Linked DNA regions of Daphnia pulex. Each later gene encodes a partner of the first gene's protein in a complex. Links are inferred from orthologs where the notes say so. Each region holds a gene or a part of one and is shown in the gene's direction. Other genes may lie near its edges.

Evidence for each region.
Region 2: translation initiation factor eIF-2B subunit beta-like (region 1) and translation initiation factor eIF-2B subunit gamma-like share a complex: the UniProt entries of both Homo sapiens proteins name them as parts of the translation initiation factor 2B (eIF2B) complex. The link is inferred for Daphnia pulex from reciprocal best matches to the Homo sapiens genes EIF2B2 and EIF2B3.
Region 3: the proteins of translation initiation factor eIF-2B subunit beta-like (region 1) and translation initiation factor eIF-2B subunit alpha-like are in contact, whole or in part, in a cryo-EM structure (PDB 7F64), measured with the Homo sapiens proteins. The link is inferred for Daphnia pulex from reciprocal best matches to the Homo sapiens genes EIF2B2 and EIF2B1. Residues at the interface, in NP_055054.1 of Homo sapiens: Glu107, Ser108, Leu109, His110, Leu112, Leu113, Thr114, Ser115, Asn242, Phe278, Asn280, Glu281, Glu282, Ser334, Tyr337, Arg338; in NP_001405.1 of Homo sapiens: Leu71, Arg74, Phe75, Leu78, Arg96, Leu99, Phe100, Arg103, Lys110, Thr117, Phe118, Lys120, Ser232, Phe235, Leu283, Asp287, Leu288, Val290, Thr292, Ser294, Ala295, Asp298, Glu299, Leu300, Lys302, Leu303.

Annotation. Positions count from the first base shown.
Region 1 is NC_060019.1:5,860,678-5,864,376, reverse strand, and holds translation initiation factor eIF-2B subunit beta-like, read left to right. Parts: upstream 1-1,491; 5' UTR 1,492-1,631; coding exon 1,632-1,696; intron 1,697-1,776; coding exon 1,777-1,863; intron 1,864-1,930; coding exon 1,931-2,209; intron 2,210-2,273; coding exon 2,274-2,430; intron 2,431-2,498; coding exon 2,499-2,693; intron 2,694-2,757; coding exon 2,758-2,954; intron 2,955-3,028; coding exon 3,029-3,101; 3' UTR 3,102-3,167; downstream 3,168-3,699. Other genes in the region: asparagine-rich zinc finger protein AZF1-like, read right to left, coding at 3,551-3,699. UniProt on the Homo sapiens protein: Acts as a component of the translation initiation factor 2B (eIF2B) complex, which catalyzes the exchange of GDP for GTP on eukaryotic initiation factor 2 (eIF2) gamma subunit.
Region 2 is NC_060019.1:11,426,445-11,430,663, forward strand, and holds translation initiation factor eIF-2B subunit gamma-like, read left to right. Parts: upstream 1-1,311; 5' UTR 1,312-1,426; exon of another isoform or gene 1,427-1,469; intron 1,470-1,630; exon of another isoform or gene 1,631-1,648; 5' UTR 1,649-1,660; coding exon 1,661-1,808; intron 1,809-1,866; coding exon 1,867-2,021; intron 2,022-2,089; coding exon 2,090-2,255; intron 2,256-2,353; coding exon 2,354-2,561; intron 2,562-2,635; coding exon 2,636-2,772; intron 2,773-2,843; coding exon 2,844-3,034; intron 3,035-3,099; coding exon 3,100-3,165; intron 3,166-3,228; coding exon 3,229-3,377; intron 3,378-3,434; coding exon 3,435-3,532; intron 3,533-3,599; coding exon 3,600-3,652; 3' UTR 3,653-3,830; downstream 3,831-4,219. Other genes in the region: vacuolar protein sorting-associated protein 33A-like, read left to right, coding at 1-51, 124-250, 312-378. UniProt on the Homo sapiens protein: Acts as a component of the translation initiation factor 2B (eIF2B) complex, which catalyzes the exchange of GDP for GTP on the eukaryotic initiation factor 2 (eIF2) complex gamma subunit.
Region 3 is NC_060023.1:2,531,204-2,534,801, forward strand, and holds translation initiation factor eIF-2B subunit alpha-like, read left to right. Parts: upstream 1-1,371; 5' UTR 1,372-1,722; coding exon 1,723-1,735; intron 1,736-1,794; coding exon 1,795-1,902; intron 1,903-1,970; coding exon 1,971-2,110; intron 2,111-2,174; coding exon 2,175-2,552; intron 2,553-2,611; coding exon 2,612-2,737; intron 2,738-2,797; coding exon 2,798-2,956; 3' UTR 2,957-3,023; downstream 3,024-3,598. Other genes in the region: palmitoyltransferase ZDHHC6-like, read left to right, coding at 18-97, 168-308, 371-586, 652-842, 912-1,044; uncharacterized protein LOC124198557, read left to right, coding at 3,239-3,374, 3,431-3,598.

The DNA of each region.
Region 1 (3,699 bases):
AGAAAAAGATATCAAATATCAGTTTCTTGATTGGGCTGATTTTTGCTTCGATTTTTTGGACATTTTCCCCTATAGAGTCAAATTTGATTCGGCACTCGCCAGCAAAAGGGAACAAAAGAAACCGGGCAACCAGAAAACTAGATCCCGAACAGTTTAGACTGTTTTTTATTTGCCGCCTTACCACCACACAAACAGCAGCAAAGATATAGGTCAAGATATTAAACTTTTTTTTTTCTTTTTTTGGCCGGAAAACATCAAAATCAATTTGATTCCGACTCCATTGTTGTTTATAAATAAACGGGCTTGCTCCCGGTACTTAGACACCATCGAGCGTCCCGTGATTAAATTATCGCTTTATTCAATCAATGGTCTTGTATCCGACGCCTACAGGTTTGTCTTTATTTACTTTAGCTGTCACATTATTTCGCCGGCGATGTATTGATTAAGACGTAGGCACCAGGGCCCACCAGAAACGAACAAAAATAAGTTTCCCGACAATGTCTAATTTCGCTGCTCCAAATGTAGTAGGATGTGAAAAACATTCTAAAGAGGCGACAGCGTAAGAAGCCCATCATTCATTTAAAATTGTGTCAAGAGTAATCGTGAAAAACAAGTCACAATATATACTGTACGTATACGACGGAATGAATATAAATGCAGGAGCGAAATCCAACTTGGAAGTGTTACCAAGTTGTTACCAAGTTGAAATTCAGATTTTTCCTCTTTCACGACGAGGGGTTTTATGGCATTTTTCCATGTGGGATGATTCGGGTTTTATTTCCATTGTCTTTTTACCCACAGGTTCAGGTCAGATCTTCCCATTGTCTTTCTTCGTGTGTTCGCTGATCCAAGTTTTGTATATAGTTAAGCAGCACCTCTTGACAGCGTGTGGCCGCCCATTTTTACCGAGAAAGGTAGTGGTGCTGTTAGGTGAAAGCTCCCTCACCAAAAATTTTACTTCGACCTAATCAAAACTTGGCCGTAAATTGTTACGACGATCTTTGACGTAATATTATTATGTGGTTGATTCCAACGCCCCGGATACATATCAAAGTAAGACCCAAAAACATTAAACGTTAACGCGAAATCACTCTGAATTTATGGATGACATTTTGTCTTGACGTAGAGTGTACACTTGCACATTTTACGCAATCGGGATTGGCTATCGTTTTAGATTGGGTATTAAGGCAGTGCTGATTGTAATCGCACCAATAATCTTATTGGTTGAATTATCATAGATAACACAAATTTAAAGGTGTGCGCAACGACAATAAAAGATAACGAGTAAAAGCATAAAAGATGACGAATTTATCTACTTATCTTACACTCACTCTGTTATCAAACCAACCATAACCAGGGGTATGGTAGGGCCTATAGAGATATGGATATGCCATAAGCCCAGGCATAACCAACCATAACGAACCAGATCGCTTTTTCAGAGGCTTTCTTCGAAAGATGATGTACGTATTTGAGCGATCGGGCACTCGCGCAGTAGCAGTTGCAGTTGCAGACGAACTTTGTAAATAAACAATACGCTGCAAAATTCTCGTTTTCTCCAGTGAACTACTTCACTTTATTATCTGTCTTTAAACCAGTTATTTCAGAATAAATTATAGAAAATCAGTGTGAAAATGCCGAGTCTTGAAAGTGAAATTGAAGGTATAATTGAAACTTTCACCAACAATCTTAAGCAAAGGTATGATTGTTATAGGCCATAGAAGTAATGCTGGCTATTCCATCTCGTTATTGACATTCTGTGTTTCTTTTTATTCGTAGAAAGTTCAAAGGATCGAGAGACTTGGCCCTTAATTCCGTACAGCTTTGGAAAAAAATCATTGGTCAAATGAAATGGCAGAATGCAAGGTTTGTTAGTTTATCTCAAGTCCAGAATTCCTGTTCCAGTTATTAAGTGATTCAATTCAATCTGTAGGGAGCTTATGGACACCATAAAAAGAATAGGTAAAGATTTGGCAGAGACTGCACCTTCAGAAACAGTCATTGGCAACATGACAAGAAGAATGTTAAAGATTGTCAGGGATGAGTATGCCATGCTGCAGAAAGGAAAACAAGAAGAATCTGATTTGCAAGACTCACTTCAAAAAATTCTCACAGCAGATGAAAGTGATTCTGATTACACTAAAAACATCCCCTTGCTCAAACCAGCCATCATGGAGCACATTGGAGAGTTCCTTGCCGAATTAGAATCCAGGTTTGAGAATTTACCACATGTCTAGCTTCACAGCCTATTCAACTACCTTAATTTGTTTCCACAGTGAAATCGACATTTCCGCCCAGGCCCTAGAACACATTCACGCTAACGAAATCATCATGACTATTGGTTATTCTAAAACTGTCTCGGCGTTTCTGAAGTCAGCTGCGAAAAATCGTGTTTTCCAGGTCATCGTTGCTGAATGTGCTCCATTTTTCCACGTAGGCAGCGAATTTGAAAACGTTTATTTGCATAACACCTGTATATTTACTCCAGACTATTATTACAGGGACATCAATTGGCTGCAGATTTAGCCGAAGCTCGTATCTCTACTACCCTTATTCCGGATTCTGCCATTTTCGCAATGATGGCACGTGTGAATAAAGTAATCATCGGTACTCATTCTGTTATGGCCAACGGTGGTCTAAAAGCAGTGTGTGGCACTCATACCCTTGCACTGGCTGCAAAGCATTATTCGGTTCCGGTAATGGAATAAGTTTTGTAGGCCTACACTTTCAGCTAAAATAATTTATTTTTTATGATTTCAGTTCGTCGTATGTGCACCAATGTTTAAACTCTGTCCCGAATATGTCTGTAGCCTTGATCAAGATGGATTCAACCAGTTTGTGTCACCCGAGGAAGTATTGAACAACGACGAAGGCAAGCTCGTTTCCAAAGTGAACGTCTACAATCCAATTTTCGACTACGTACCTCCAGAGCTCGTCACACTCTTTATTTCAAATACGTAAGCGAATTATTTTTAAATAGTTTGAAGATAATGAAGAAGTATCTATTTTATAATCACACTTGTTTCTCTAGCGGAGGCAATGCACCGTCTTACATCTACCGACTCCTCAGTGAACTGTACCACCCTTTGGACGTGCAATTGTAATGTGGGAAAAAATGGCTTTGTATTAAAAAGGCCGAGATACATAAACACACAGCACTAAGAAAATTACGAACATGGAGTGAATTTTTGTTTCGTTTCAAAACTACAGTTGGGTTCTAAGTATTGGTCTTCTCTATCAGCAAGATTAAAAGAGTAAACACCAAAAGCACGAATCGATTGGTTAAAGCTTCATCAAGACACTGGATCGAAAGGAGAGAGTAAATTAAATAAGTAGTGAAGAGAACAGTCGATTCATCTTTCAGGTACGAGAAAGAGTTCTCAAAATAAAGTAGTGATGGAAATGGAGAAATATCATAATAAGCGAAAATAATACCGTTTTTCACTGAGCAATTACAAGGAAATGGAACAGCAGATTAGAAATTGACAGAATTGGAAGGATAGGTTATTGAGAGAGACAAAACTTTGGTGAATTCATTATGTTCATTTTCTTTTCAGCACTGCGAACTTGAAGAGGCCAGCTGCATCAAAGCAATCGCGCCAGTCCATTGTTTTTCGGCGTTTTGGAGTGCTCGCATTAAGGTGCTGTTATTGGGTTTATCTGGTGTGGACGTGTTTTTGGGTTGAAATACCCTGGGTGAAG
Region 2 (4,219 bases), about 5.6 Mb from region 1:
CTCAGTTGACCTATGAGGGTCTTATCGACGAATTCCATGGAATAAAACATAGTAAGAAAGTATTGTTAGCTTCTGAGTAAAACAATTATTTTACTTGCATTTTGTGGTTTCATTGTTATTTAGATACAGTCAAGCTTCCAGGAGAAAATTTTCAAGCCTCATCAAATGCGGGCCAGTCACCTCGCTCTGATGGTAGCTCTGTTAAATCTGTTGTTCTAAACTCGGCCGAAGAGCTTTACGCTGATTTGAGGTGAAATTTTTAATCAGACAAATTTTGCTTCCGACAGTTTTAAAGTTATTTATTTTCGCAGGGACAAGAACTTTTCAGCCGTGGGTACTGCACTCAGTCGCAAAGCTAAAGCTATTTCAGCTCAGTAGCCTGGATAACGCCATTGTTGCATTTGGAGGTGTTAAGGTTTCTGCATTCGCACGCGATAGTGGAGAAATATTCCTAGACTCCTTCGATGATTCGGTAATCATGGTTAGTTTAAACTCAATAATATTTCTCCAGCAGTTTTTTTCATCGGGATTTTTTTTTCTTGTGTATTCTCTTTAGATCAACCCGGATATACCTGATGAAAGGGAGCTGAGGGAGTGGCTTAAAGACAATCAGTAAACAAATCCTTTTTTACTGATTGTCTGAAGATCTTAATTACTTGACGTCCTTAAACATCGACTGCAGCTAATTGCCTCCATCTTTTTTCTCGAATTGTTGCCTCCATCTGTTTCCCTGAATTGTTGCCTTGCCTCAAACTTTTTTCCTAAAATATGGCTTCGATCTTGTAACCTGAACTGTTGCCTTTTTACCTCAGCCCTTGTGATGGAGAAATTGGGCCACTGTCTGAGTTTAACTCAAGAATTTCGTAAAATGATAAATGATAAAATAATAATAAATTTATTTCGTAAATGATAAAGAAAAAAAATCCAGGAAATTACAATAAACAAAATCTTACGAAATTCCTACATTTTAATTGTTTTGAAAATATAAGCAAAAGCTTTTAACTGATATCTTGCACGTTAATACCCGAGGGCGAACCTGGAAGGGTCTTGTTTCGTTATTTCTGATCTTACTTAACACATTTTTAGATATCGACAAAAATAAATCGTGGCTTAAAATTTGTATATTTTATCGGAGTAGAAGGAGGAGGAGCTTATTTGTTGGTAATTCAAGCAAGTCTAATAAGTAATAAGTCGCAGGATCCTGAAAAAAGGATAATAAACCGTGAATAATTGCAAATTGGCTCCTCCCTCTTTGTGGGCGGAGTTAAGCTTTCCATGGAGGTGTTTCCACGATTTTGGCCAAACCGCCTCAAACCCGCATCGTGCCCGCATTTTACCCACTGCATTTTGAGAATTTGAGCTAGTGTTTTAGTGTTTTGCTGTTTACAGCTGTTTACGAAACGTGTTTAATTTTGTCTACCGTGAGGTTAAATATCTGCTATTATTTTATTACGATTCATTAAATTAAGGTACCCGTACATACTTTCCGTTTGGTTCGATTTTTTTTAGTTAGAAATGTTTGTGTTGTGCGTTTCTGTAACACCGTTTGTGTTACCTTTCCATGTGCTAACAGATACAAAACGCATCATCCTTTTATTTTCTAATTCTCTCTATGTTTGCTATTTATTAGTTTATATTTGTATTCTAGTGTTCTTTAATCATGGAGTACCAAGCAGTAATAATGGCTGCTGGAAGGGGTTCACGTATGACAGATTTAACTCATGACCGTCCCAAGTGTCTATTACCAATATGCAACAGACCAATGATATGGTTTTCATTAAAAATGTTGGAAAATGCTGGTTTTGAAGGTATTTCAGTTTTTGTTTTGAATAAAGTTACTTTTATGTGACAAGGACTACTTTTTAGATGTCATAGTTGTTATCCATGAACAGTTTCGAGCTGAAGTTGCAGCTATTCCAAGCAAGTATGGTTTGAACATCAAACTGGATATAGCATGTCTTCCAAAAAATGAAGACTTTGGAACAGCTGATTCTCTTAGACTAGTCAAAGACCGAATCAAGGTATAAATCTTTAATAATGCAAGATTTTTATCACATATACTATACCTTTAAATCCAATCGAATTGCAGACTGATGTCCTGGTCATTAGTTGTGACTTGGTATGTGATATACCATTGCACAATGTGTTTGACTTACACAGAACTCATCAATCAAGTGTGACTGCACTTTTTAGCCAGTCCTCTCCAGAAGTAATGTCAACTGCAGTGCCTGGTCCCAAAACAAAATTCAAGCAAGGTATATCTTTCAGCATTCACTAGATTACTTTTAATAACAAAAAATGTATGATAGTATATTCATCAAATAATAATATAAAACTTCCCTTAAAATTTTAGAAAGGGACTTGGTTGGATTGGATCTGCAAACACCTCGTCTGGTTTTCTTAGTCTCAGAAGCAGATTTGACTTCAGAAAACGAGGAGGAACTCTCAATCCGAAAATCAGTGATGAAACATTTCCCACAGATAAGTGTTCAAGGTAACTTGCTTGACGCTCATCTCTACGTTATTAAGAAATGGGTCTGTGATTACATTGCCGAAAACCGGTAAGTCACACCGTTATTTAAATATATTACGCGTTAATGGATAAATCATAAAAACAAACAATTTTTTAACATAGGTCATTCACTATGCTGAAGGGTGAGGTCTTGCCTCATCTTGTGCGAAAACAGTTTATAAAAACTCAAAGGAAAAAAAACGAAAAAGAACTCCCCAATGCGGATGTCTCGGTCGTTTCTTTAAATACTACAAATCGAGGCACTATAAATAGAATTTGAAATCTCTACGTCTAAAGTCTAAATAGTATTATAATTTCTTTTTTTGTAAAGATATTTGCAGCTTCCTTGTTGATGTCGAAGAGGAAGAGAAAATCAGGAGCTACTCTGTTTGGAATGATCATCGTGGTGATTTGCGTGGCCCGTACCAAGACCATAATATCCGCTGTTTCGCTTATGTGGCCAAGGAAGGCTTTTGTCTACGTGCAAACTCGCTGAGCAACTATTGTGAGCTCAACCGACAAGTAAAGAAAGAAATTGTTAACTAGAATCGATCGACGATATTATTATTATTTAAAATGAAATTTAGGTTATTAAAAGATGGAATACAATGTTTCCTGATGAGGAAATCACACCACCCGTATCCAAAGCACAAGTAACGAAGACCCTTATAACTTTTAAATGTTGGATAAACATTATAACATTTTTTATAATATAGGTGGGAACTGATTGCCTTATTGGTGAAACGAGTCAGTTATCGGACAAGTGCTCTATTAAGCATTCGGTTATTGGTCAAGGTTGCAATATTGGAGAAAAAGTTAGGATTACCAATTGTATCATCATGGATAACGTTACGATCATGAAAGAGTAAGATGAGATTATTTATTTTTCTGCTACAACGTATATGAATTGTCTTCTTTTTAGAACAACTCTTCAAGGCAGCATTCTGATGGATAATTCGGTAATTGAGAATAGTTGCGATTTAAAAGACTGCATAGTGGGACATACCGTACATAGCAACTGTAAGTTATACTTTAAATGATAAACAGAAAAGGTTGCCATTCTCACGTTTCAATTCTTCGCACTTAGGCAAATCTACCAACGAAGTTTTGGTTGATGCTGATCGGCTCTTGGAAATATGAGTTTAAGTTATTTGAGATGTTTTTCTCAAATAACTAACTAATAAGTGGTGATAATCCTTCGGGCGATACCTTACAATTGAAAGGCGCTGTTTGCGTGGGCCGTTGGTATGCCTAAATTGCGAGACATCTCCTTGAATTTTGGTTGAAAGTATACAAACAATAAAATTTGCTAATTACATATCTAGTAATATTTTTTTAATTACGATTAAACTTGAACTGAAGAAGATGTATTAAAATTGTGCATCTAGTGATACATCCTTTTTTAACCGCGAAGCAGAAAAAATCTAACCCGAAGCTGAACGAGAATTTGTTTTTATTTCTTATTTAATGTTCTCGGTTGGTTCAACTTTTTCTTCTTAAAAAATAACGACGTCTATTTATTTACTTAAATCCGGATCGTCTATAGGCGTATAAGAATACCGCGACATGATTTAGATACAACTAACTATTTTTTAAATCTATGCGTAGTGTCTGTTTACTTACTGATTTATAATCCGTCTTCTTTTCAATTTACGCGCCGTGAAACATGTTATCAGCAAAAAAAGAATTCTTCATCTCAATCATTCA
Region 3 (3,598 bases), on another chromosome or scaffold:
CACCATTGTTTCGTTAGCATTCCTCATTTCCGCTGTTATTGGATGCGCCCAAGCCATCGTAATAATTTCATGCACCATGTACAGAGCTCTTCACCCGGTTGGCTAAATCTAAAATTTGTATGCTTGTTACAAACAATTTAAAAACGAATCATATTGTTTAAAAATAGACATTTGATTACTACGACCATTCAAATCTACGAGAAGTGCCTTTTATAATATTGGGACTATGGCCTTTTGTGATGAGTCTGATTTCCTTAGGATTAGCAGCCGGAGTAGTGTTTGCTGTTGGTTTTCTATTTTTTGTCCAGGTTTGAATTTCTTTGGATTATATGTTCTTTATTTAACCTAAAAGTGATTGATTCTTTCATAGATGAAAGTGGTTTTAAGAAATCAAACAGGCATTGAAGACTGGGTTCATGAAAAAGCTGTTTATCGTCGAGAAGGAACCGATGAACCCTCTTTCATTCACCCCTACAATTTAGGATGGCGAAAGAATCTGGTTGAAGTAATAAATTTCTCTTTCCAGCCTAAAGGTGATGGCATCGAGTGGAAAGTCCGGGACAATTGCCATCCATACGCTTTCACGGTATAATCCTATGCATAGTTCTATAGATTTTCTACCTTTTATAGCTATTTATTCATTTTTGACAGATTGAACAAATTGAACAGAAAAAGATTAAAAGGGAACGCTGCGTAGAATACGTAGTAGAGAAAGCATACAGTGGAAGGTGGTTCCCTATTATTAGTTTCGGCATTATGGTTTGTCTTCAGCCACCATACACCGACGAGACACGCATCTCTCTGCAGATTGGAGATAAGGTGGCGGTTACTCGATGGAAAAAGTATGATAAAAACAACTTCCAACAAGAAATTTTTGCCTTTCAAAACTTTTATAATTGTCCTTTAATCAGATATTGGCTTTACGGCGAAATTCAAGAAAGGGGTCAAGTTCAAATGAATCCAACTGAGCGCCGAGCACTGCGCGGTTGGTTTCCTCGTACATCCTGCTCTCCTTCCTATGTGGAATATGAAAAAGAGGAATGATTGTTTAAATTAGTTTAATTGAATGGATAAGACAACAAAAAGTTCCAATAATCTTACTTTTATTTACACACCACTTTGTTTTGAAGCAAAGCACCTAAAATTGCACCTTGTCTAAAATGTTTCGGGTGGTTTTCATCTGACAAATTCACAAAATCTTGAAATAAACTATGGTTAAAAAAATAAAAAAAAAAATGCAAAATGAACGTTTATTTCACTTTCGACAGATATCTCGTGCGCCGTGCGGTCGTCGCTCGTCGGTCGTGCTACCGGTGCTACCCTACCCGTACCTGTGTGCATGCACGATGAAGAATGGCAACGTTGACGACGACATTTTTGTTTTTAACGCGGAATGTGAAAAGAATAGAATGACTTAAGTATTCTTCTTTCATCAAACGATAACAGCAGTTTATGAATGTTTGCGGTTGCGTGTGACATAATGGACATATCAATCTAGGGCTCTCGGCAGATCCTTCCCTGGGACTAATCGGTGAGGGCCAATCAGAAACAAGTACAGTACTCAAGTGTTTTGACTGACTGGAGTGTTGACTTTTCATTGTGTCGTCTGCTGCTGGAACGGTGGCAAGCTGGCAAGCTGCTGTGCTGCTCTTCTAGCTGAAACTCCAAGTTAAGTAGAGAGGAAAAAAGTTTACTAGTGCGCAAAAAAGATATAAGTATAAAATGGAAAATACAAGTAGGTTTAGTTATTAAATAATGTTAATAAAAAAACTAATGTAATCAATGTGCTTTTAGGAAATGTATTGGATTTTTTCCAAAAAATTGTGAAAGAAGAGCCGGATGTTTCAGCAGCTGTTGCAGCTATCCGCACATTAATGAATATATTGGAAAACTTTGGTGATGGTTAGTAAAAACAAAATAATATCTATAAGCATAATCATTATCAACATTAAAGACTATCATATTCACAGGTGAAACTCTTCGTGGATTGTCGGAAGAACTGAGAAAAGCAACAGAAGAAATGAAGAAAGCTGAATGCTCAATTACATCAGTTCAATCAGGCTGTGAACTGTTTCAACGGTTTATCACACTTACTTCTCTTGAACAATCAGTATGTTGTCTATAAATATGAATCATAAATTTTTAATAGATTTAAAATAAAACATTCTTTTTAGAATTTCAAAGATTGCAAGGAGATTATGAAGAAACGAGGAGAAATTTTTCTAAGGAAATTACAAGAGGCTAGACCTAAAATTGCAAGACTAGGGGCTCCTTTTATTCTTGATGGACACAAAATCCTCACTCACTCCAAATCAAGAGTGGTTCTACAAACACTAGTTGAAGCAGCTGTTATATCCAAAAAACGTTTCCATGTTTTCATCACTGAATCTCACCCGGATCTAAGTGGTGTCGCTATGAGAGACGAGCTATTGAAACACAGTATTGGTTCGACTCTCATTTTGGATTCGGCCATGGGTTATGTCATGGAATCAGTGGATTTAGTGCTTGTTGGAGCTGAAGGTGTTGTTGAAAGCGGAGGCATTATCAATAAGGTACGGATAAAATATATTTATTTGACTATTTAAAAAAATTGAAAAATTTATTGAAATAGATTGGAACATATACTATGGCGCTGTGTGCCAAGGAAATGCACAAACCCTTTTACGTTCTCGCTGAGAGCTTCAAATTTGTCCGTCTCTACCCGCTGAACCAACGCGATTTACCCCAAGAACTGAAAGTATGTTAAATTTTTTAACCAATTTTCCATAATGCTGAAACTTGTGTTGAATTTTTTTAGTTCTCGTCAACTATTATTGAATCCAATCATTCTAATCTTCTCGATCAGCATCCTCAAGTTGATTACACGCCACCAGGATATTTGACTTTGCTTTTCACAGATTTGGGAATTCTCACTCCATCAGCCGTCAGTGATGAATTAATTAAACTTTATCTATGAAAGAGAGTCGTCTAAATATAAAAACATCGATAAATGTGTAAATAAAATACACGTTCATGTCACTTTTTTTGTGATTTTAGACATTTTCCTGCGCGTGTGGAAAATATAACATGCAGTAAGGTCATCTGTCGCAAGGTGGCGTTTCGAACGATGCACTTCAAATTGGAAACCGTTGAAGTTGTTAGCGTTGGTGCTAATTTAGCTCTAACTTTTTAACAATCAAAATTAGGGAATAATAACAAAGTTTAATTGAGACAACTACAGAAAACTGTGAGGAAAAAGATGTTAAATGAGCCAAATAAAGACCACATTCCGGAGAAATTTCCAAGAGAAAGAAACAACATTGATGACTTCATAAAGAGGAGACCAAGTCTTAACAGAAGTATTACTGGTGGTGGTTCTGGTTCAACTTTTCGAGGTAATGAAATGTTGTGGATATTGTTTGTCAATTTGTTCACTATGAAGTTTTTACAGCTGCTTGTGCTGCGGTAGACTCATCCCTACCTCCTTCTGGGAAGAAACATAAAATAACAGAACTATGTCTGAATCATACCCTGAAGGAAATGAAGTTTAATGCCTTAGAAAAAGAGCAAGATGCTGTTGCTGCCTATTCAGAAAGGCTACGGGATAACATTGAAGACA